Linked DNA regions of Caenorhabditis elegans. The protein of the gene in region 1 interacts with the protein of each later gene in a pairwise test. Each region holds a gene or a part of one and is shown in the gene's direction. Other genes may lie near its edges.

The links.
Region 2: the proteins of lin-48 (region 1) and nhr-31 interact in a two-hybrid assay, tested with the Caenorhabditis elegans proteins (one large-scale study listed by BioGRID).

The regions. Positions count from the first base shown.
Region 1 is NC_003281.10:3,739,006-3,752,118, forward strand, and holds lin-48 (Transcription factor ovo-like homolog lin-48), read left to right. Parts: upstream 1-6,432; 5' UTR 6,433-6,455; coding exon 6,456-6,527; intron 6,528-6,575; coding exon 6,576-6,656; intron 6,657-6,833; coding exon 6,834-6,917; intron 6,918-6,967; coding exon 6,968-7,283; intron 7,284-7,675; coding exon 7,676-7,800; intron 7,801-8,122; coding exon 8,123-8,287; 3' UTR 8,288-8,567; downstream 8,568-13,113. Other genes in the region: F34D10.4 (C2H2-type domain-containing protein), read left to right, coding at 182-367; arcp-1 (ANK_REP_REGION domain-containing protein), read right to left, coding at 8,593-8,688, 9,276-9,695, 9,751-9,951, 10,291-10,560, 10,640-10,741, 10,787-10,987, 11,356-11,736, 12,145-12,242 and 1 more. UniProt on the Caenorhabditis elegans protein: Transcription factor. Involved in development of the hindgut, the male tail, and the excretory duct cell. Involved in modulating function of excretory duct cells. Plays a role in left/right patterning of cell fates in the hindgut.
Region 2 is NC_003282.8:8,022,385-8,035,497, reverse strand, and holds nhr-31 (Nuclear hormone receptor family member nhr-31), read left to right. Parts: upstream 1-5,984; 5' UTR 5,985-6,075; coding exon 6,076-6,182; intron 6,183-6,840; exon of another isoform or gene 6,841-6,987; intron 6,988-9,460; coding exon 9,461-9,738; intron 9,739-9,821; coding exon 9,822-9,976; intron 9,977-10,252; coding exon 10,253-10,734; intron 10,735-10,834; coding exon 10,835-11,108; intron 11,109-11,153; coding exon 11,154-11,327; intron 11,328-11,527; coding exon 11,528-11,677; intron 11,678-12,117; coding exon 12,118-12,249; 3' UTR 12,250-12,843; downstream 12,844-13,113. UniProt on the Caenorhabditis elegans protein: Orphan nuclear receptor.

The DNA.
Region 1 (13,113 bases):
ACGGGTCGTTTTTATAGTTTCGTGATGTTCAGATTTCGGCTAGGGAGCAAAATTTTTAGATTTTTTTGAAAAAGGTAGTATTTGATATAGATCGGTCTGCTGAAAACTTTGAGCTCTAACTATCTGAAGAACTTATTGTAAACCCTTTTTTAAAATCATTCCCAAACAATTATTTTTCCAGATGAACTCTCCTCAAACTCATGCGACAAGCTACGCGAGGCGCAGTGATGGAAAGCGTCACCCATCGAAATCGCGAAGCTCCAGGGATGACCGAGCCAATAGGCGTGACCGAGATCGGGATTCTGACGGACGCTGTGGAGATGACCGCCGACGGGACCACCGCAGCCATCCGTATGAGCGACATTAATCGAGGTTCTCATGTACCATCATTATTGACTCGATTTTTTAAAAGAAAGGAACAACATTTCATTTTTCCTTCAAAGTATTTATTTTTTTCTAAATTTTATCCCCCTTTCAGGAGAAAATAGATCTCCAACCCCCTCCCCCGTATTTATAACATAATAGTATTTTCCCCATAATGTGCGATTTTTAACGGATCTCTCTTTCTGTCCACATTAATTTTTTTCTAAATTTTATTCCCCTTTCAAGTGAAAATAGATCTCCGACCCCCTCCCACTTATTTATAATATAGTAATAGTATTTTCCCCATAATGTGCCATTTCTGTCCACATTAATTTTTTTGTGTGCCTTTTTCTTGTCATCCGCTTTTTTTTGTTTTTATAAAAGTAATTACCAGTTTAACAAGCTTTTCCTCCGACACTTTCAGATGTACGTGGTAAGAGTCGATCTATGCTGTCTATAGGCTGTTTTGGCTTAAAAACCATTCCAAAGATGTGAGTGCGGATGAATCTGCGAAAAATTTAATTTCATCTGAAAAATCAGAAATTTGCGACGCCACCTAGTGGCCGCGAACAATAATCGGTAGGTCGCGTTGCAGACAAGGAGGTAGGCGTGGGTCGCCTTGTAAGCCAGGAGGTAGGCGTAGGTCGCCTTGTAGGCAAGGAGGAAGACGTAGGTCACCTTGAAAACTGCAAAAAGTAGGCCGCCTTGTAGGTAAGGAGGTAGGTGTAGGCCGCCTTGTAGGCAGAGAGATAGGCGTAGGTCGCCTTGTAGGCAAGGAGTTAGGCGTAGGTCACCTTGTAGGCAAGGAGGTAGGAGTAGGTCGAGTTGTAGGCAAGGAGGTAGGCGTAGGTCGCCTTGTAGGCAAGGAGGAAGGCGTAGGTCACCTTGTAGGCAGAGAGGTAGGCGCACGGCCCGGCAAGTGGTACATCCATGCAAATGCGCTCTACTGATAATTTGAGTGTAGACCAGGTTTGGGCGCGTGATAACGAAAAAAGCTTTGGTCCAAAAAAATTTAGAATTTAATTTCGGACATTTTTTATATGCATCACAAAAAAACTGGACCAACCGTTTTTGAGATACACGCGCCCAAACGTCCAGGTATACGGTAGACAAATTGCGTACAGGTACCACTGCTCGGGCCGTGAGGCGTAGGTAGCCTTGTAGGCAAGGAGGTAGGCGTAGGTCACCTTGTAGGCCAGGAGGTAGGCGTAGGTCGCCTTGTAGGCAAGGAGGTAGGAGTAGGTCGACTTGTAGGTAAGGAGGTAGGCGTTGGTCGCCTTGTATTCAAGGAGGCAAGCGGAAAGGCTAAGATTGAGCTTAAACATATGCCTAGGCATTTCCAGGCGTCAGTGCCTACAATTTGAGATCTATCAATACGGCGGAATTGATTTCCAAGAGGACATTTTGTGATTGGCCTTCCCTCTTAAAAAGCTTCTGCATCTGTAAATAAGCTTCTCCTCCATCCACCATAAAGTGCAAATCGGGAAGTGTCAACAATTAGCAAAGGAAGACAGTTACCCAACGGAAGGACCCAAACGAAAATAACGATGCATTGAAGTGAGAAGAAGTAATAAAGGATGATCGGCTGGGGTCGTCAGGTTCTTAATAACAGACACAAAAGAAACACACACACAACCGCATACTTACTGTAGAAAAGACGAAGAGGAGGCGGTGACGATTGAAAAAAGAGAGAGAGAGAGACCTTGGATTCACACAAGAATCAGTTCATTTGTAAAGTTTCGATCAAGTTTATTTAAAGCTTCATCTTACTGCCTGGAAAATTGTTCATCAACGTGAATTTTTTAAAACTTTTCTGAGCATTCTCATTTTGTTCCAGGATTTTTGGGCTTGTAAAGCAACTCGGTAAAACCTATTTTAGTTCCTGCTGATTTCAATCAAGTTGTATATAGGCCCTGGCGCCAACTGAAACATTTTGAAAAACGGTATGTAGCTTTAAATAAGGACACGGAATTCTTTTTAAATTGACTTGCAATCCCTTCCTCAACTTCAAAAACTCATATCTCGGTAGTTTTTGACTTTATCCAAAAATAGTCAACTGACAAAATACGTGAAAAAAGTTAGTGCAAGTTAAAAAAATAATAGGAATATTCATTGAAGATGGACAACTAAAATCTGAGAATTTGCTTTTTAGACTCCAAATAGCCCAAAACTGCTGAACTTTGAATGAGACAATTTGAAAATTTCTCAAAAAAGTTAAGGCGGTTCAAAACTTTGTAAAAAATGGCCTGTGTACACATTAATTGGGAATTATTGTTAACAGCTGATTTTTGTATGATTTTTGCCAAATGAATAAATAAAAATCAATAAATAATCTGAACAATCAGTAAGACACCAATTCCTACTAGTTTTGGGTTCCGATGCACCATGTTTCTTCTTCAGTTCTCTCAGTTTCGCAACCCATTTTGCTCTACTTTGATATCATATATCTTGGGTTTTTATAGTTTTATTAAAAACAAGATCAACTGTTTACATTTTTATTGTTCAACAATTTTTTATTTACTCAAAAATAGCGGAGATATAAGCGGCCAAAGTAGAGCAAACGAGAGGGGGGCAAGGCTACAGTACTCCAATTATTTGTGTCATTTCTCCGGTCTCGCAATCATCTTGGTCCGTTCCAATAAAAAAAGAAGCTTCCTCCGATATTTCTAATTCATCTTTCTCGTTATTCTCAAGTTAAATTGACTTCACCAGGAGGTCGTGTTCATCGTCACCTTCTAGCAAATCGTCATGTCATTTCAAATGTCTCTCCGCTCATTTTGTCCCGGTAGAAAAAAGTTGAAGCATCAGGCGGCGTTTCTAATGTGGTGGTCGTATGTCGAATATATATCCGTATAATTAGTGTATGTTGTCTGAAGGTGTGAGGTCCCCAAGGCGGAAAGAAGGCGCGCGCGCGCGAGTTTTGTCCGCAATTTGCCGGAAAATATGGCGCGGATTTTGATGATGGAGGAGATGGAGGGGAGGAGGACAGGAAAGGCGCAAGTTTGCGGTGCGCGATTTACCGTAACGAAACGACGATTGAAAAAAGGAGAAGAAGAAGGGCGGTTACGTATTTCCACCGTAACATGACCGTATCATTGTTTGATGTTTCCATACTTGTTCTTCTCCGTTTTGTATCTTTCGTGGTGGGACCAAAAGGTCACTGTACTCTTTTTCTGAAATTTTGGATCACTATGTCTTTTGGATTTTTTTTGGTAATTTTAAGGAAAGGTCCCGCCACGAAAGGGCATACTTTTTATATACATATTTTGAGTGAGACGGACTCCAAAATATTTGAATTTGAGTTTTTCAAATGGAACAATCTTCCAGCTAACTCGGAATGTATTAGAAAAGCGGCATGTAGGCATGAAGCCGATCTTGTAAAATTGGAGAGATTTTTTTAAAATAGACATTTCCTTTTACTTTTATTTTTTAACTATAGTTCGGTGGCGTTCCAAATTGGGCGAATGACGGCGAGATGAACGACTAGAGTTGTGCCCAAAGAATACGTAATGTGCACATTGTCTAAAAAGTACTTACTCGTTCAAAACTACATTTCTCCGTATTTGGAGGTGTGCTGTATCACCCTGAAAACTCATTCCATCCCGACCTTGCCAATTCCTCTCGCCAAACTGGCTGATCAACCAGTGATTCAAAAACGTGTCCCTCCGTCTTCTCATCTCTTCCTTACCGTCACGCTTCATAAATGCACCGTGCGCGCGCGCGCCGTCATCGTTGTCTTCAGAAGATCCCACAGTTTCAACACCTCTTTTGTGATGATATAGACGCAGACAGCGTGACGCCCTGATACGGTAGAATGCAAAAAAAAGAAGAGGAAAAAGGTAATCGTTCCGTCTCCTCTCTCAAAATCAAATATACAAACACAAGGGGAGGTCCTATACCGCTGATATTGCGGACCGACTGAAGCGACGCGGGTTTATGTGATACCGTACCCCTTCCTCACCGGTATACAACTGGTTGCATCTTCATTGTTGTGTTTTATTTTGTTTTGGAGAATTGAACAATTTCAGTTATTTCTACGAACTACGAAAATGAGATGAGTCTTATCGCAAAAAAATAAGTAAATTTATTTTCGCGACGAGACCCAAATTTGGGGTTTGTTGCGGGACCTCAATGCGATTTTTCATTAAATTGATATCTGTGTTCTTATCAATGAAAAAAGTTCTTGCGTTCTCAGCCGCCACTATTATCTCACCCTTATCACTTTTTTCCTGATAGATATCAAAAACGACTTTTATGACACTTTTCTCCCGTTACTTGTTAATTAATTTGATATATCGCTGGTATTTGAATTCAGTTTTTTGAACTTTATATTAAATTTGGAAATTTTTAATTGCCGGTAAAAGAGAGTACGGTAGTTGGAAAGTTTTTTTTTCGCTCGTGCCAGGACCCATGGCCGTAATTTTAGGAGAAAAATCACAAAAAGATTGAGAAAACTAGGCCACTCATTAAAAATAAGAATTTTAAGATTTACTGTAACTTAATTTAGTTTTTCTCGCAAAAATATGATAGCCACATTTTTGAGTTCATCGAAAGTTTCAGAGTATCATCTAAATTCCAAGAAAAAACCACTTCGGCACAGTAATACCTGCCTGCATCTAAGACAACCTTCGCCTGCCTTGTGCCTGAATACGTGCCTATTGCCTACCTTGCCTGCTCAGATACATAATGCCAAAGTTCATTCCAACAAGAAGAAGGCGCTAGGCGGCGGCTTGTAGGCATGTAGGCATGTAGACAGGAAAACGCGCCTTTGGAACTTGTTTTCTTTTTTTTTCAGTTTTTTTTTTTGAAAGTTCGTTCTCAAAAAAAAAGCAGAAAAAGAAGAAAACTTCGAAACCCCTTCCCTGAACGATTACGCAATAATCCCCCTCTCTTCCTTTTTCAAAACGGTCTTCATGTCTGCCTACCGTAATCCTCTTGTAGTCACGGCCAACCTGCCTTCTAATCGCCACAAGCTCATCCGTTGCTAAACGTTCCCCCATCTTGGCATTGGGCAACTGTTTCTTCTTCTGGTGCCATACACAATTGTTTTGTTGTTCCTCTCTTTCCAATTGATGCTTCTTCTTCTTCTCTCTAGAAACCGCTTCTCAAGTGCGCCAAGTGCTCATCCGTTTCACCAACACACAAAAGGGAAGAAGGGGGAACTGTAACCGTCTACTAGTTGCCTAATATACTTGTGTCATATATCCTTACAATTATATTAATATATCTACATGTAAGAAGAAGTTTCATGTCCCTTCTTGCATCATTTTTATATTTTCTGGCAATTTGCAGAAATTATTTTGGGGGATTTTTAAAAATTTTCAACAAAAATAAAAATAGTTTTTCAAGTGAACCAAATATTTATCTATGTTTCTAGCTCAAATTTTGAAACAATTCGATTAGGTAATTTTTCTCTCAGATATTTCAGTTTTCCAGCCAAAAACTGAAGATTTTTCTGTCTTACTGAAATTTCCTGTTATAAATGCAACTTTTTCAAAACTATATGCACAAAAAACACAAAAAAATATTTAAAAAAATACAAAATATTTTTTTCGGATTTTTTTTATTGTTGAACTAAAAATGGTTTTGGGAGAGTTTCGTGAAAATTACCCAACTTTTTTTTGTGGTTTAGGTCTAGGCTTAGACTTAAGCTTAGGCTTAAGATTAGGCTCAAGCTAGGGCTTAGGCTCAGGCTTTGCTTTAGGCTCAGTCTTCCAGCGTAGGCTTCAGCTTAGGCATAAGCTTTGGCTTAAGCCTAGGCTTCGGCTTGTGGGAACGCTCAATAGTTTTGTGTACCTCTCCCCTAAACCATCCCAGAAAAATCCTAAATTTCACTTTCGGTTTCATGATTATCCTCTCCCTACCGTGATTTTGTGCTCTCGGAGCCAACACCTCCATATTCCAATTATTCCCGACATCCGAGACATTGTACCTATTATTATCTGGCGCCGAGTATTTGAAATAATTGCCGGATTGGATTTCTTCGGTGATAACACACCCCGCCCCGACTCGGACGCTTCCGCTTGTTGTTCCTTGTTTGGAAAAAATTCCACAAAATCATCACAAAAATTTTCAGCTCTGCTCAATTTCAGATGGATTCACGGGTATGGCTGCCGCTGATTGGAGCGCATTTGCTGCCTCGAGACATTAGTGTTATTACTCAGGTATTTGAGTCTTGATTTCAAAAAAAAAACTTGAAAGTGTGAATTCAGATGATTGCAAATAATAATAATACATCAATTTCGAGAAGTAGCACCAATAGCAGCAAACCCGAAGAGAAGAATTCGAAAAAGGTAGGAATGGAAAGTTGGTGGCCTAGAAAATTAGAAATCTCGGCCATCTTGAAATTTTTATCTAATATTTTTTGTTCTGAAACCGCCTGAAATTATCTTTTTCGTTTTGAACCGCGTAGCCTAGATAGACACATTGGCAGGCACAATACTTATCTACGATGAAAGGAACATTTTCAGTTTCTCATTGAACGATTTCTCGATGATGATCCTTCACCACCAGCATCGATTCTTTCGCCATCACCCAAGGCAGCCATACCCAGTGTAAGACGCTAATCAAGGAAAATTCTAAATTTTTTTTTTCTGATTTTCAGCCAATTATAAATCCAGCAGTGGAGTTTGTAAACGGAGGCTACGGAGTCAAAAACCCCCTGGCTCCGTTGATCAGCTCCTTCGAAACCACCTCAATTCCGTGTTCAACAGTATCTCCTTCATCCCTCATCTCCTCCAGCAAAGACGAGTTCCAAGATTCATTAACCTGTCACATTTGCGGCAAAAAGTTCGGTTTACAACGTCTTCTGAACCGTCACATAAAGTGTCATAGTGACCTGAAACGGTATCTATGCACATTTTGTGGAAAGGGTTTCAACGATACATTCGACTTAAAAAGGCATACCAGAACACATACAGGTACCTCTCAACACTTTAAAGTACTCCTCTACCTCTGCCACCAATTCATAACCACTAATTTGTCGTTCTTCTTACCCTCCGTTGACTTACGGTTGGAAGACAATTGTCTGCGTCTGTTTGTCTAGCACACTGCTTTTTTGTGGGGTGTCATTGAATCCATTGTAGCGAAGCGTAATATTCCACACATTTTCACCGCAAATTGTCGACGATTCTAACTTGATTTACGGTGGAAAATCAAGGGGACCACATTAAAATTGAAACCGACAACACGTTCTGCTCATTTTAATGTATTTCTAAAAAGTTATTTGAATAGAAAATTGTTTAATAATAAATTCAAAAATAAGCAGACAAAGGCAGGCGTGCCTATCTACCTATGACCTTCTGTATTCCAGGCGTCCGTCCCTACAAATGTGAGCAATGCGAGAAGTCGTTCACTCAACGATGCTCCTTGGAATCCCATTTACGGAAAGTTCACGGTGTCACTCATCAATATGCCTACAAAGAGCGTCGTAGTAAGGTGAGTTGACAGAAAGGTATGCATGTCTGCCTACGCCTGCGTGCCTACTCTCAAAGTAGACTCAAACAATAGACAAAATAGAAATAGAAAATAGGCATGTAGGCATGTAGACATGTAGGCATGTAGACATGTAGGCATGTAGGCATGAAGGTACGTAGGCATGTAGGCATGTAGGCATGTAGGCATGTAGGCATGTAGGCATGTAGGCATGTAGGCATGTAGGCATGTAGGCATGTAGGCATGTAGGCATGTAGGCATGTAGGCATCTAGGCATCTAGGCATCTAGGCACACACCGACCGACAATAACTTCTACATTTCCAGGTATTCGTCTGTGAAGATTGTGGTTATACGGACGAAAAGTTCGAAGTCTATCTATCTCACATCAAGGTAGTACACCCCTTCTCGGCCGCCTACCTTCGGTTTACACAGCTTCAGAAAAAGAACTCATCGATGAAACCCGAACAACTTTCCAAGATCTCCCTATAATACTCACCTTTTTTCCTATTTAATTTTTAATTTTTTTTAGAAATTAGCTATTTTCCAAAAATCCTCCAAATCATCGTCATTTCCCCATTTGTTGGTGATCCTTTTTGCACCCCCGTGACTGATTTATTAACCCCAATGACACTATTTTCTCTCCGTCCAAGACCCTTTTCACCCATTTCTGTCTTCTAGATGATTCCATGATGTATTTAACTTATACCAATGACAACAAATTTTCCCAAAAAATGACACATTTTATTGAAATAAAAAAGTTTCTCCTTTTTTTATTCTTAAAAAATGTGTTGAAATCAATGACTTCCATTGTGACGTGGAATTTCTACGACGTATTTTGAGAGCCACTCGGCAATAAATCCAATAGGGTCGGCAGGACGGCGAAGTAGAACCTGAAAAAAAATAAATGCTTAAAATTGCAGCGGACATTTAACGGGTTCAGCATAATCTCTGAAGCGTGCGCGCGAAGTGTCGGCCGCTTTACTAAAGCCTTATGATGTCGGCTGCCAAACACGTTTTCTAGTTGGCACTTAAAATTTGTCAGTTTCTCGAGTAGTCGACATCTCATGGTTTTGTTATAACCCTAATCCTTATTTCCCGCTAGTGAGGTGCCGGCAGTTATACTAAGATGTTTTGAAATTTTGCTGTCAATAAAAAAGAAAGCGGCCGACATCTCCCTGCTTCAAATCCTAGCCCTAACCCATGAAGAGTCGGCTGCTGTACATGAGTGCTGACTTAAAATTTACTGGCGGCCATAAAAATAGAAGCGCCCGACGTCGGCCGGTTATGCTGAACACCTAATGGCTGATCCGTGAGGAGTCGGCTGCTTTGAAAAGTGTCATTCGTACTGGCAAAGAACGTGAAAGCGGCCGACATATCCCGGGTCACCTCTAAATCGTCGGCTGCTATGGCCGACACAACTACGAAACACGGGTCCAGCCCGCGAAACGTCAGCCGCTACTAATTTTACAATACCTACCTCTGCCAGCGCTTTAGTCAAAACAGGCGCCACCGTCCTTGCGAGATATACTCCATTCTCCGACGTTGGCAAATCAATCTTCCCTCTGAACGCCTTCTCAAACCGATGCCTTTCAATACTTTCATCCTCATCATCCAACATACGTGCACTATCAATGAATGACCCTTCACTTCCTGAATCAGGTGTAGCTGGAGAATCAATCAATGGCCCATCCTCTAAATACTCCTCATTTATAGTCTCAAAATCTTCATCCCGATCCTTGATAAGTTTCAAATCAATAACTGCATTCCTTCGGTAATAATCAGGTGTTCTTCCTTCGTTATCAACAGCCATCGGATCGGCTCCAGCTTTTCCAAGAATTTTCAGGTAATGACCTCCATCTCTTGCCGCGGCAGCGTAATGCATTGCAGTTCGCTTATTCTGGAAAAGGATCCAAATTAACTTATTTAGGTCTTTAAAAATCTAAAATCCTTACATAATCAGGAGCATTTAAAACAGAGTTATAGTGTCCTGCAATATACCGGACAATTTCAGTGTGCTCATGAACAACTGCAGAATGCAAAGGTGTACATCCAAATCGATCTCTTGCAATTGCTAATTTTTTCGTCTTCATTAGTTCTTTAACTTTGTCCAAGTTGCCTTCTTTTATTGATTTATGGATTCCATCGATTTTGTCCTGGAATTTGAATTTCTTTTTTTTATTTAATAAATTTAATCGGGCATTTTAGATTTCTTGAATTTTCCAAAAAATCAATTTAATTTTTTTCAATTTTTTCGGAAACTCTAATATAAAAAAGTTATAATTTTTTAACTTTCGAAAAGTTAAATTTTTTTGAAAAATAAATTTGATTACTGTTCCGATTTTTTGATTACTGTTCCGATTCATAATCATAAATAAATTGTATTTTTTATGTTTGAAAAAAACAACAATTTTTCGGTTTTTTTATTGAAAAAGTAGGCAGGCGTAAGCCGCCTTTCAAGGCAAACCGGCAGACATTTTTGCACCTCAACCCACCATATAATCCGGTAATCTATCCAAAAATGCCTGAGTTTCCGTATGAGTCGATGTCCGACTTTGCAGCAAGTCTCCACATCCCGACAACACCAATTGCTCCAATTTCGCCAGCTGTCCATCACGGAGCCATTGTTGAATTGAGGATTCTAGATAGCTTGGAGCAACTCTATTATGTAAGACTTGTTTTAAAGCTGCTCGAGTGTCGAGTCGCATTGCTGATAGATCGATTTCTCCGGTATGTTTTAAGTAGTATTTTGCAGGGCGACCATTCTGAAAATTATTATTTATAATATTTTTCATTTTTTTGAAATATTTTTGCGCTCATGGTGCATCGGAGAAATCAACTTACACAATCATAAATATTCGGATCAGCTCCAGATTTCCTCATAACCTTATACAAGTATCCTCCGTCTTTCAATGCGGCTGCGTAGTGAAGTGGAGTCCTTTTCTTCTGCAAATTTATTTACTTTTTAAAATTTAAACCCCAGAAGCCAACCTGATCCATAGCGTTCACAGACTGCGGATAATTTCGAATAAGGTATTTTGCAATATCAGTTCGTTCAAAAACAATTGCCTTGTGAAGTGGAGAAAGGCCTCGGGTATCTCTACAAAGTGATAGCTTCTTACGATCAGTCAACAACTTGACGGCTCGAAGATTTCCTGTTTCGACTGCTTTGTGGATTGATTGGATCTTTGCCTGGAAATAAGATATATAAACTTGTTATTAGTTGAGTAGTATTATAGTTCCATACGGTATCTATAAATAAATATGGTAAACTTTAAAAGTTGCGCGTCAAATTTGATGTATTGAGATGACACTGTGTAAGTTTTAAATAATTGTGACGTCATACGCTTTGTTTACGGCTATAAGTCATCTGGCCTAAATAAGTTATGCACGGTGGCCTAGTAAACGCAGTTGCAGATTGAACAAGCAGCTTCTCAAATTATTCCAGACAATTCTCAAAGATATTCAGAATTTCATTCAAACTTTCCACAATTTTTTAAAATTTATCTAGAACTCTCCAGAATATTCCAAAAATTTTCAGACAAGTCCATGATCCTCACCTGATATTGAGGTAGCACTTCTAAAAATCCAATACTATCAGCATCATCAACTTCATGATTCCTTCCCAATAATAAATCTGCATACCCGGTAAGCACCAATTCTTCCAACTTTCCAATATTTCCAGTATGAATCCAATCATAAATATCCTCTTCTAAATCTTGTAACAACGGCCTGCTCAACTGTCCCGAAATGAGTTGATTCATAACCGCGTTGTCTTTCATCGATCGAACATTCAATCGTTGACCGTGTGTTCGATAATAGAATGGAGTATGACCGTGTTTATCCTCTATAAATGCGTCTCCACCACTTTTCTGCAGCACTTTTATCATATGTTCACCATTTGGATCAGCAGCAGCGTAGTGGAGTGGGGTTCGGCCAGCCTGGAAATTTTTAAGAAGTTTTTGAAGTAAGCAAGAATTACGAGAATATTATGCCCTTTTAAATTAAAACAAATTCTAACATTTTTTTTCAAAGGCGATTTGTTAAACACCCCGTTAGATACTGAGTCTACGAGGATTCCAAAAATTCTCTGCAAAGAATTTCTCTATCTACTGATATAAATAAATTCAAGGTTCATGAAATCAAGAACTCAGAAAATATTGAAAATCAATGTTTTCTATATAATTCAATTCCCTAAAAACTAAAAAAGAAGGAAAAAGAAGCCATTCGAATTGCTCGACAAAATGATGTATAAGAAAAGAAAGAAAAGAGGATTTGTTGTTGTTTTTGGTGAGGATTTGGGTGTGCTCGTTGAGCCAGCTAGATGGGAAAAAATATGAAAAACTGACGTGATCAGTGGCGTTCACACAGCTTGGGAAGCGGCCAAGAAGGAAGCGCACTGTGTTTGTTTGGCCATGAAGTAATGCTTTATGAATTGGCGTCATTCCTGAAAGATTGTGATGATGATTACAGGAAACGGAAGATCAAAAGTTTAATTTGAAGAAGTTGCAAGGAAGTTTTCAAATCGAAAAATGAAATTTCAAAACACCAGTTTTTTCGAGATCTGAGCTCTTTTTTACTTTTCTCGCAAACTTTCCCACCGCTCTTCTCGGATTTTCCAAAAAAGTTTAAAAGCCTTCCAGCCAGTTCTCCAACTTTCTAAGAAGTTTCTCCACTCTCTACTACATTTCCCCAATTTTCTCGCGCTCTTCTCTAATAGTAAGCAACATTTTCCAAATTGGTGGGAAATTTCCTTAACTCTCTAGTATATATATCCTGAGATTACCTAAAAAGCTGGAAAAGCGCGCTGGAGAGTAGGAAAAGTTTGCAAAACTAAAATGAAACCCACCATAATTATCTCTGGCAGTTGATAAAAGCGGCCGATCAATCAATGATTTAACTCTTCGAACATCTCCTTCCTCAACTGCTTTGTGTATTGCATCAATTTTCGTTAAATACTGTGTAAGTCCCGACAGAAATTCGTTACTTGAAGCATTAACCGTCTTCTTCTCTCTAAGCATATGTCCTCTTCCATCAAGCACGATTTGTTCAAGCTTCAGAACTTCACCGGTTGCCAACCATTCTTCAACTTGTTCCTCTGATGGTGCGTCTGAAAAAATTATATATATTTTTTGGTATTTGTTTAAAACTTTTCTAAAAATGCATTCTAGATGCTTCACAGGTTTTGCGTCTTACTTTTCAGAAATTCAAAAATTGTTTTGTTTGCCATTGAAGCTTGCCTTATCACTTATTTTAGACATCAAAATTCACCCGAAATCAGATTTTGTCCCATTATTTCCAGAAAAAAAAACAGTAGC
Region 2 (13,113 bases), on another chromosome or scaffold:
CTCAGTTGAAACCAAAAGCTTGTGTATCCAGAAAACAAACAAATTTCATAACAAACTTTTTTTCTTGCTCATCATCTGTTCGATAGGCGCCCGTGACTCACATTGTTTTGATTCAACTGACCGTGTGCCCCAACCTTCCACACAAACCATTTTTCCTTTTTCATCCCCAGTTTCTTCAATTCCAACAATATCTAACATTCTTCCTGGCACCGCCCATTTTAACTTTTCCGTTCCCTTTGGATGACTGTGTCCGGAGAGTGTCCGCTTCTTCTCATTTTCCGCGACCTTTTCATTTATTTGTTTATCTCTTTTTGCTCATTTCTCTCAAACCTCTTGCAATTCCTGAGCACTCAATACTCCCAAACACAAAGAGACACCGGTTCGGATAGATGATGAAAAAATTGAGATGCTCAATTTTCTGTTGTGTTCTCATTTTGATTTGCGATTGATTAAAGAGATCCATCGAAAACCTTTTAAATTTAAAACTATTACTTTTATTTTTTTAATTTGCCCTGAAACCAAATTGCAGTTTTCCCTTAGGAAAAATTGAAAATTTTGATTCTGGGAATCAGAGAAAAATTATCGTAAATTTGCAGTTTGATGAAACTTTTAACTGAACCTACAATAATACAAGTGCATTTATTTTGATGGGTGACTCGGTGCGGAAAAACGTTCTTGGTAGCCTTCTTGATATTTCTGAAGACCAATTCTTCTTCTAATTGTCCAATGTTTTAATTTTTATTTTTGGAAGAAGAAAAAATGAAAGAGTAATGTTACTGCAATATTTGTTCGTGTCGAAACCCTTTTGAATAAATAGGTACGCTTTTAAGTACATGTTACTAAAATTTGAAAAATTACAATATAATATTATCAATTTCATAAATTAAATATCACTTTTTTTTATTGATGTCATATAATTTTCGTATGAAAGCAAAAATCACAATCGTGTTCGACATATTATCATGTTTCTATGACTCATATCAATCGGTGAATTTCCAAAATCTTGTTTTATTTTTTATTCTCTCTCCAGACTATTTGCATCGTCTAATTCTCACACCCTCTTACAAATTCTCATCGTTATCATTAAAGTTTACGATTTTTGGAAGTGCTCTTCCCCGATTTTTCGTCATTCTTTTTCAACTTTTATTCCTTTTTCGTCACTTGGCGTAATCTTTGAAACATTTCCTTTTTTAATTTTTTGATTTTCAGAGAGATATCTGGTGACGTGGCAAGAGTTGCAGATGAATAGAATACGGATTCAATAGAGTTTTTGAAATCGCGTGGGAATTTTTTGTACTTTTTCGGTTTTTTCTGTTAGAGAATTGAGATAAAATATTGTAAGGAACAGCGTTCCAGAGAATTTTTTTGTATTCTTGATGCGTTTGATTGTGTGTGATAGGAAAAGAGGCAACTGACTTTCGATTGAACTAATAATATTGTTCGATTGCTACGTTCCCCTGCACATGACTCATTTCCTTCAGCAATGTTCATTTTCTTTTTGAAAATTATTTGTTGTCTTCGAATTTTGAGTTATTATTCAAATTTTTTTGGGTTTGAAATTTTTTGGGTTTTTTGGGTTAATATACATAAAAAATACTCATTGATTAATTGGTTTACTCATAATTAAAGCAGCTTATAATTAAAGATAAAGTGATTTTTAACCAATTGCCAATTCACACACTTTCTATTAGTTTCTAGTTTTAAGTCAATTGCTATGAGAAACCTATCAGTTCCTTTTATCCTATTTTTTTTAATTTGGAAAATTTTATTTTCCTACTACAGTTTTCCATGAACGAATTGAACTTTACTACACCTTGATGTATGCCAAAGCGTCATTATATTGTTCTTTGTATGATTCTTAAAACTAAACAAATGAATTTCAAAAATCAAGAGACCCACCTTCTCGATTACAAACTTGATCCAATGTGCAAACTTTAGCATTTTCCTTTTCCAATCATCATTCCCGTGTATCATCAGTATCATGAAAATATCAACTTGATCAGTTTCAGACTCATAAAGTTGATAAATATTACTAGGTTAAATTGTTGAACAACGTGCAACACGTTATGATGAAAAGCGGAAATCAAACGATTAGAGAGATCAAACTTTTCTTTTTCTGTCTTCGTTTTTTTCGGAATTCGTTATCAGTTGATCGTCGAGATCGGAAATAAAATAGCTATTCCTACAAATCCCCAATTTTTATTTTTAATTTATGAAGAAGTCGCTGCAACTTATCAAACGATCTTTAAATCAAGAAAAAAGAAAAAGAAACTGTGGAATGTACAATAGTTCAGAAAGTCTGACGTCATTTCACAATCTCCGGGAAAAGTCAGGTTGTCATCATCTTTCTTTTTTTCATAAAAAAGCAGGATACGACGAATTAAACTGATAGTCACAAAATAGGAATGAACACAAAACAGGACATTTTGAACTTATCTGTCAGCAGTTAACTATTTCAAAAGAGTATTAAATAAGGAAAATTGGCTCAGTTTTCAGTTTTCTCCTAGGAGACTGACATTAGTTTTAAATTCTAATCTGACACTAGACAGGACTCACTTCTTTTTTTTACGTTTTTCGTGTTTTTGACAAAAGCAGATTTCTCGTTGTTCTCGAAAATAGTGTCAGAAAAGGTGGAATTCCCAAAAGTTTTTATCCTAATTGTTAACTGAGAAACTCACAAAGAAGCTGGCCATTAAAGAATAGCTGAAACATTGCATGTTAAAGTCTTTTTTCGTTACCAGGTAATCCTTCAGGACTTCTTCACTATCATAGAACAAACTGGTGCAATATTTTGTATTTGTCCACCTTTGATCTTCTAAGGTTCTTTCTTTTCATTTTTTATCACCAAATTCCTGTAAGGAGCCCTAAGAGTCTTAGTACATTAAACCTCCTAAACTTTCGATTCTTAAGGTAACATGCCCTCCCGCCTTCTTTTTCTGAATGAACTGCAAGCTTTCACTTATTTTCAAAGTCATCCTTGTAACTTTCGACCTTCTGCTGCTCTGTACAGCATTCCGGTGATAATGACGCAGGAAAGTCGGCAGTAGGAGAGAGTACAAAATTGTCTTAATTTGATAATGAGCCGTTTGTTGAAAGTATTTATAATTTGTGAAGCAACACTTCAGTAAGTAGATCAACCACAAATCATGCCAAGTTGTCGTTCTTATCAGTTTACGTCTCGATATGTCAAGACAATATGATGGTTGTGGGAGCAAATTGAATTCCGAGAAACTTACAATGATAAGAAATTGTAAGAAATAAGTAATATCAGCTAGTTGGTGTAGTTGAGGTTTGAACTTTTCATATGAACGGGAGGAGAGAGAGATAGAGAAACATTTGGAATTCGGAAGTGATTGTTGGCAATACGTAGGTTAGCAGATTAGTGTTGATAGAAATTGATAGACTGTTGGAAAATTGCTGGCACAATATTAGAAGAGTTTTGAATCAAACTAATCATTTCAAAAATTTATATTTAAAGATGGAGTATTTAGAGCCAGTGGGGAATTTTTTTTAAACCTATGGTGCCAAAATTACCAAATAGTAAAACTTTGAAAATAAATTTAATTTGTTATTCTGTTTTAAACAGTTTTGCCCGCTTTTTTGGAGCTCGTCAAAAAAAGGGGGTTTTGACAATTTCTCCATTGGCAACTGACCTTTATCAACAACGATCGAAATGTTAAAATTCAAGTTCAGTACAGAAACTGAATCCAATTTTTGATATGGAGTCTATTTCTTATTATTCGATACCGTTAGAAATCAAAAAATTAAAAATTTTAATTTTCCATGTTAGGTAGCTTATGAATATTCCTATTGAAATCTGGTGCTCATGCTTTCAACTCTAAAAAAATCCCAACACAAATAGGCCATGTTCTTAACTGTGTGATTCTATTAATAGACCTCCTTGTTTCTCATTTCATGACCGTATCATCCAAAACAATTTCAACCGATAGTCCTTTTTCAATGACCTTTTCATAACATTTAACTGTCCTAATCAAATCGGTAGTTTGTTGTTTTAGTTGTTTAACCAAATGGTTTTGTTGCAACTTCAAGCCTCGTGTACCTCTAAAAACAGATATTTTCATCATATCTTATTATGTCTCCGCCTCCTCCTCAATTTCTCACCAATTTCATCTTCTCCTCCTTCTCAATAGTTTTTCTCCCCACACACAAATTGCGCCCGCCCCCAATTTGCATTTTACTGTTGGTGTCCCTTGATGTGTCCCCCTATCGCCCAAAATCCCGTCGTTGTTACGTTACTATTCAGGCGGAACACACACAGTCACCAGAACCATCATATTTTATTTGTTTCTTTTTTCTTTTCCTTTTCTATTTGAAACCATCAACTTGGGATTTCCCATCTCACGTCTCAATGTTGCAGAATCTTTAGTAAAAGTCGAAACACAAATATATGATTTATTGGCAGGTTATTATCAGTTTGTGCCAATTTATTATCGAAGAACAGTTTGATTAAATCAAGTAAAGTCAGAAAGTCTATTCAACTTTTATTAAGAATTTTAAATATTTTCTATAATCTCCAAGAGTTCGACTCATATTAATGTGTATTCTTTACATTATAACTTTTAAAATTCAATTTTTTTCGCTTAAAAGTTCAAAAATCTGAAAAGAACAATCGGACAATCGTTGTGGTCGTCATAGAGCTGAAATGATCTACGAATAGTTCAAAGTACTGTATAATCTAGTAGCCATATACATTTTCATAATCCTCTCCGTATTTCTTTTCACCAATCCGCTCCGTCATTTTGCATTTTTAACAAGTTTCGGTTATTCCATATTTTCATTTACATAACTTACACGTTTATGTTTCTATTTCATGTTAATTCCATAGTATTCTGGATGGTTCCAAAATAGTTTTGAATTGTATATTGTTTGAATTGGTCCAACTCCGAGAATTACCAAAAGTTTAGAACATTTGAAGAAAACATAACAATGTTTGGTTATTGATAACATAAATTTTGTTGAATCTTCAAGCTTCATTTATTCATATTTTTCCAAATTTCAAAAAAGGATTTCTAAATTTAAAATGTCCACTAAACAATCCTTAATCTCTTGGCAGCTCCTCTTCTTCACACGTGGTTTTTTTCAGTTATCAGAACAATAATCGGTGGTGTGCCAGCTTGCTGAATTGGCTTGGCAAACTTTTTTTGCGTCCTTCTCCGCCACCGTCACTCGTTATCATCAATCACAAATTTTTGGCTGCTGCCACGTTAGACTCTGATTTGTAAGGGGGACATGAACTATTATCAGAAGCTAATTCTTAAATTCTAAAATGAAAATATTAATTTAGAAAAACGAGAAATAGATAATAAATGGAAACCTACTCTCGTTTCTTTCTCCAATAAATCAAATAAAAATAAGAAAAGTGCGACTGGTTGAGTCGTTACCTAACTTTATCAATATTTGATTAGAACTTAACAATGTTTTTGAAATGATCCACTTGGACGTACAAGAGGTAGTACACATTAAACTGACCGTTCGATTTTTTTTCTTAACTTTAATTCACTTAGAGAAAGGTAAAAGGAATCCATATATAAATTACGGGATGTAAATAATATTTTATTATTAAAGAAAGGTTTTAAAACAAACTATGTAGAATCTAGTCAAATAAGTAATTTTCTATTTCTGGAGATAATTTTATTTAAAATTGAATTTTCTTAATTACAGAGAAATTACGTTCAAAATCTCATTAAAAGATGTGATAACCCGACACCTCAATACATTGACCGTTTAATTTCTTTCCGTTTTCATATATATTTTCATCTAAACACATTCATATATTTATATATACAAATGAAACCTAAACCCGTTTAATAATCCGCCTGACCGTCTATCCATCCTGTCCGTCCGTCTATCCTCCTGTCCACCTTCCGACCACAATTACCGTCCCTTTTTCTTTCATTTTCACCGTTTATTTTTCTGAAATCCGTTGCTTTAATATGTATACATTTATATATACTTTTTTCCAGCAACAACAAATAGAAGAACACGAATTTTAATTTCAATTAATTCAAAATTTTTCCCATATCGACGCTGCCGTTTGCAGCACCATCTGTTAAAATGGAACAACTTGATGTCGAAGATTGGGAGTATTGGGGTGATGAATATCTTGAAGAAGAACCAACTTATGCAATAAGACCTGGTACAAGAGTTGTGAAAGTTGAAAGGTTAGTAAATCGATTATTATAACTTTTCTGTGCATTTGAACTTGCATCATAACCCTAACTTTTTTGAGAATTAATATCAAATTATTAAGATTTATTTGCTCAATTGATCAGTTGGAGATCATTTCATAGTTTTTTCTTTAATTTTTTGAACTTGTGAGATAAATAATTTTCAAAAAATTTTGTTTACCGAAGCCGCCAAAAAATTTTATCTCAAATATATAGCTCTAGTGGCTCTTTGATAAAAACATTGAAAATTGAAAAGAAAAGATTTACTTGAAACCCCATTTAATGCTAAATCTAAATTTATTCAAAGTCAATGTGATACAAAATCCCTTCAGGCCTTAAACTTTTACATCTATTCTGATATCAAAGCATTTGATAGTTTCAAAGAAATTACGACATTTTGGCAATCAATCGCTGATCTTCTGACGTTTTCAGATCAATTGACAATGATTTAAATGAACTTTTGAGCAATTATCTCAACTCATTAGAGCCATTAGATAGTTTTCAAGAAGCTGCAAGTACGTGTTCTATTTGCATTTTAATTCTAATTCCCTTTTGTATAGGACAGAGTCTCCCCTTTGTTATCTTATTCTTGCCCCGCCACGACGCAACAACCATTTTTGTGATAATAATTTGCAATTTTATCAATGGCACTACTACCTCTGATCACCACCATCTCACACATACTTTGTAAAAGCGCGTCGATCGTAAATACTACTGTCTTGCCACTTTAGTAGTAACCCTGCCACGTGGAAACTTTGAAATTTGGCGTGGAAATGAGTGAAGAGGCACGTGACAAGATGCGCGCGAAGAATGATCAAATTGCGATAAAAAGGGATAGGTGAATGATCTTTGTGATTTGAATGCTACTTGAGGAATGGTTTACATGGAAATTGAGAAAAAGTAAAATAAAAGGGTTCAAGGACGGTAATCGATCAATTTGAATGAATGAAGAAAGATATGATTGTGATTGATAAAAGGAATTTGCTACAAGAAACCGAGACGAACTGCATCGGTTCATATGAGTCAGATGTGTTCTTCGGTTGAAGAAGATCACTTAATTTAGTGAGAAGTTTCTTTTGAGATTCAATTTTGATTATATTCTTAGAAGTTTTCAGAAAGACAGTTTAGTATTCACTCCACAAGGTTAATAGCTAAAAGTATTCTCTACTCGATTCGAAAAATAATTTTTGCGGGTTTTTACTTTTAGTATAAAATATTTGAATTTGAAAAAATCTCTAGTTAGTAGTTTGTTCGTGTGCAAAGCTTAAACAGGATAATTAAAGTATTTTAAAATATAATCCAGCTTTGATTCTAGATCACAATTCAGCATCTACTTATAGATAAACTAGTATATGTTAACTTCCCCTATCCTATCCAATAACCTTTTCCTTATTCAGCTGTAAACAACAATTGATACAAGTTATCTTATCTCCAAATGCCTCCTCCAATTTTATGAGACCCGTAAAAAAATTCGATAGACAAAAAGCATTACGATTTTATTTATTTTGGTGACATTTTGGATCCTTGTAGTCAGAGGCTCTATCATTTGATCTTCTAATATATCTTTACAAAAAGGCAATACATCCAATTAGCCCAATTAGTCTGCACGTCTTGATATAAATATGACATCATACATTTACTGATTCGAATCGTTGATTTTTAATTTAGAATTAAGGATAAACAGAAAGAAGATTTAAGTGTTTGATTGGAGAATATAGGCATCCTATGCTAAAAGCTATCTCTAATTTATTACTGACATCATCCGTTTCTCGTCTGTGTTTCATGTATCTTTATCACCTTTCCCTCCTCTAGTAGAATGACCTAGAAAGTGATTGGCAAGTCTGGCAAGCCTACAGGGGGACAAGGGTTATAAGATTGATAGGTAATAAATTCTTGTAAAATGAAGAAAAAAAATTCTGTGCGGATAAACGAAGCGGAAATCATCATTGTGTGCGTGCTTTGAGGAAAGGTTCGCGCCTGTTTACTTGCCTTGTTCGGAGGTCGAGATTTCGGACACGAACCACCTCATATTTTTCTCTCGTTTCTTTTCTTCGATTCTCTTTTTTCCATTACTATCTCTCTTCCTTTGGTTCTTATTTTCTCGACAGTCTCTTTTGGTCAGTATAGTTCCTAACTAGGAACTGTTCGAAATCTGGCATGATAATTCTTCAAAAACGCTTATGAAACTTCAAAAACTCGGACTATTTTACTGTGAAAGTATATACCTCCGTTCGTTTCAACAAAAAAAAAGTTAAGCTTTGAAACTATAGAAAAATTAATAATACATCTGCTGCCAGTTGATTTTAAATTGATTCAATCGAAAATAGCCAAGATATCAGGTGCCAAAGTTGAGCAAGATTAATTGAGAAAATAATGTTTTTGGGAGTGCATTTTTTCAAATATACAAGTAGTTTATCAACAAAAAATTATTTTGTACTGGTGTAATTGATTTAAAAAACAAGTAATTGATGTGAAAAACAAGCTTAAATACTGTTCTAAAATAAAGTTACAGGTGTTAAAATGTTTTAAACAAATTATTTACTATTTGTTCAAAACCTTAGTGACATCTAATCTTTATGTTTTCATTTTCTCTTCATCCTCTCAAGCGTCTTCTGTTTTGTATTCTTCTTCTTCTTTATTTCAAATCAGTGTCTCTTTCGCCTTGTTATCAGTAAATCGTCGTCGTCTTCTCCTCCTTCATCTCCTTTTATTTCAATGTCACTCCCACTTAATTTCCCCCATTTTGTAATATTATCATAGAGAGACACCGCCCCATAGGTATTCCCCCAAATACGTCAGTTTTTCCACGTGGAACTTTTTGGTCTTTTTGATGTGTGAACTTTGATAGTTTGCAACAAATTGAAATTATGAATTTTTTTTATCATCAATGGAATTGGTCACTGTTCCAATGATTTTTTAATTGGATTCTTAAATGCCTTTTGGCTAGAAAACTTTGCACATTTAGCTCCGATTAAGCAATGAATTTTTACAATAACAAAAAAGTGCCTATCGACTTTCAATTCCGCTTCCACACACAAAATTTTGCAATTTTGAAACTGAAAAAACCGTATCAAATATAATACTCTTTTGAAAGTTTAATCACTTGAAAAATGTAATTCCGTCTTCACCAAAAAACGTTGTATTTTCCAAGACACAAATTATTGTGGGAAGATCAAGAAATCAAAATTTCAAGGACACACTCTAGTTTTTAAATTTTATTATTTTTGTGTTTGAAACTAATTTTCCCGATCTTTTAACTTTAAAATTTCCAGAGTTCCAATGATGCGAGGAGATTTAAGGACAAGCGGTGCCACGTCATCAAGTGGTCCCGCCACGTCATATATCATCAGGCCCAGTGACAAGCAACCCACAGTTTCTAGTGGTGGATCACAGAATGGAGATTCAGTTTGTGCTGTTTGTGGTGACGGAATTGCAAAATTACATTATGGAGTACTTGCATGTTATGGATGTAAAGGATTCTTTAGAAGAACACTGACTGGAAAATATCGATATGCATGCAGATTCTCAAATAATTGTATTGTTGATAAATGTAAGTTTTTTAAAGAATAAATTCGAATATACTTGACTGAGTATCTTTATAATCAAGAAAATACCTGAAGTTTCGGTTTTCAGTCCAGCGAAATAGTTGCCGATACTGCAGATTTCAACGTTGTATTCAAGCAGGAATGGATCCAAAAGCAGTCAGGCCGGATAGGGATCAGACAGGAAAACAGAAAGTTCCAAGAATTAAGAAGAAGCAAATTGATGAGGAGCTTTTAAATCATATGGTATGTTTTGAAAATGTAGATACACTGAAAAAAAACTGGTGGCAAATTTAAAATTTCCAAAAATTTGACAATTCACAAAAACTTGACATAAAATTATGGAAAATCTCAAAATGATTTGAGTGTTTTTTGTGATGTTTTCTATTTGTTCTGGAATAATCGAGTGAAAAATGTTTATGCATATTCAAACAGTTAAAATTTAGTTTGTGTTGTTGATAAAATCCAGAATAACTTACACTATACATGAATGATGTATAAATTAATACTTGAAATTTTCAGATGCGGTTACAAGGAGATGATTGGTCACGAAAACTTCCTGTCGAGACTCGAATTTTATTAATGCAATTGATGAGTATTGAGGATAAAGTAGTAAAAGGAGATAATAATATGAGTGCACAAAACACTGCAAAAGATCCAAAAAGTATTTCATTACGGGAAATGTTTGAATCAAAACCTGCATTAGATGGTCGACGGATGGAAATTGGTTATGAACCATTTCGAATGGCAAGAACTGAAGAACTTGGAGTAATTGCTCATAGAAGAGCAATTGCAGCTGTTGATTGGGTTGATTCATTAACTGAAATTGCGGATGCAGTTGATACTGAAGATAAAGTTGCATTGGTTAAAAGTTGTTACTCGCCGTTAACTATTTTCAATTTCTCTGCGAGAACTGCTCAGAATACGAAGAATCCGGATATTTTGTGTCTTTGCAGTCATTCATTTGTTCCAAGAAGATTGCCTCCAGAGTTTAATGAGACAAAGTAAGTTGGAATTTTAATTTAATTCCAATTTTTATCAACGCAATAAAAATATATGAAAAATACTATTTAAAATTAAAGAAAATTAATTTGATTTATTCAGTCATCTCTCAAACTTCCTGATTGATCGAACGTTAAATGAATTGGTGGCTCCATTGAGAAAATTAAATCTGAAAGAAGAAGAAATTGTTCCATTAAAAGCAATTATTATTTTAAATCCAAATGCAAAAGGACTATCCGAGCATGCGAGGCACGCGATTTCTGAGTTGAGAGATAAAGTTCAAGATATGCTTTTCCAAATTGTCAAGGAGCTTCATCCAATCTATTCTGCAAGCAGCCGATTTGGAAACTTGTTGCTTCTTCTGCCAACAATTACTGTTAGTCGTCATTACTGTTGCATTCTCTATTTCAAAACATTTCAGACTCTTTCCGGATTGATGTCTGAAAACATGCATTTCTGTCAAGCTCTTGGAGGACGTGCAAGTGGAGATAACTTGTTAGCTGAAATGTTTGGAGATAGAACATTTGATGATCAACTTATCAGCAGCAGCATTAGCCCACCACTATTCGAGAATCCAGCTGAAATTTGTTTAGAGGTCAGTTCACTAAAAATGACTGAAAGATCAAACTTTATATCATTATCTTTTTCTTTTAATTGTCATTAAAACTATAAACTCATTAAAACTATAAAATTTCGGAGTTTCTCGGAGAATTGAAAGTTGAAATTTGCCAACTACCAACTGATAAATGGCAATGATAAGAGTGTGCAAAAATCTAATTTCTTGTTTGTTTGCAGAGTATCTCACCGCCAATGTCTGATCGAAGATTCGTGAGAAGGGTAGATGTGGCAACACAGACAAATGATGATTTGTTATCATCTGGACCATATCTTCCACATTCAAATTCATGTAGCTCCATGCTTAATGCTGGATACTCTCCTCCAATGGTGAGAGAAGTTTGAAAATATTTATGGAATTTGAGGGAAAATATGTTGAAACTTTCTTGGATAGTAAAGATTCTAAATTGAGGGAACTAGCTTCAATGCGTTTTACACAAACATATTCTTAAGAATATACAAGAAGTTTGAAAAACGTTCAAAAAAGCTCAGATAGAGGCTGTGACTATTATCGATTTTTCTTTTATACAAATCGGTACCTATTTTTGCTAACTCGCTCCAAGTCTCTTAACATTTTTTTCTTGGGAATTTCTATTTCTATTATTAACACCGTTTCAAGTTAAGACTAAAGTGGTCGAGCCCAAGAAACTCCTTCCATATGTGGGCTTTTTTGCGTTTTTCAAATGTCTTGTGGCTAGGGAAATGTTTCTTTAAAATTAACATTAAAAAATCCAAATTCTCCAAAATTTATATAATGAGTGAATTTTCAGCTGTCAACATCTCCATTCCCACTTCTCGATGACAATGACAGTGCCTTCCAGAATGACATCAGTTTGACTGAGCTGAATGGTTGTGAAGAGTTCTTCAGTCAACTTATGGATCAACCAATCATTGACAGCTAAAATCTACAGACCAACCCATCTTGCCCGTAATTTCTCATTACTTATATGTGTACATATCTCATTAAAAAAGATCGTTTTCCTATACATACAATATACATACATAGTAAGTTATTGTCTCTTTTTAAACCGATTGTTCTTCTCATTCATTGACATTCAAGAAATGACATACACCCCTCACACATCACCAGAATATTGAATGTATTTTTTGATTAAAAAATTATATGTTCGATTCGGACATTTTATGCATCTAATCGTAAGAATACAAAATTCTCCTCAAAAAATTCAATGAATTCACTTGTTTTGCAAAAGATCAAAAATGTCTCTCTCTTCCTCACTTTTTCCTCTCATTCTCTGTGTCCCTCTCTCTCTTTTCTTCTGTGAAATCCCAGGTATGAAAATAGTCAAAAAAAAAAAGAAATTTATCTGTTTAGTGTGCTGTCCCCACGAAATAGAGTAGATGCATGTATTTCCCCCGGTTGGGATTCCCCATCCTTTTTTTTGTATTATTCTTGATTTCAGCTATATTTGACTCTTGTGCTTTTTTGTTATAAACAGATTTTATATGAAGAGATTTTATTAGAAAATGTTATAAATTGAGCATTATTTCAGAATATATATATATATATATATATATATTATATAGATTATATAGATTATGATTATGATTATGGAGGTTAAAAGTTTGTTACTCTCCGTTGACTATTTTCTTAGCTTAGGCTTAGGCTTAGGCTTAGGCTTAGGCTTAGGCGTGGCTTTGGCTTAGGCTTAGGCGTGGCTTAGGCTTAGGCGTGGCTTACTACTTTAAATACAACTTTTTTTAAATGCGTTTATAAATGTTTTAATCTTGTTCAACTTTCCATCTGA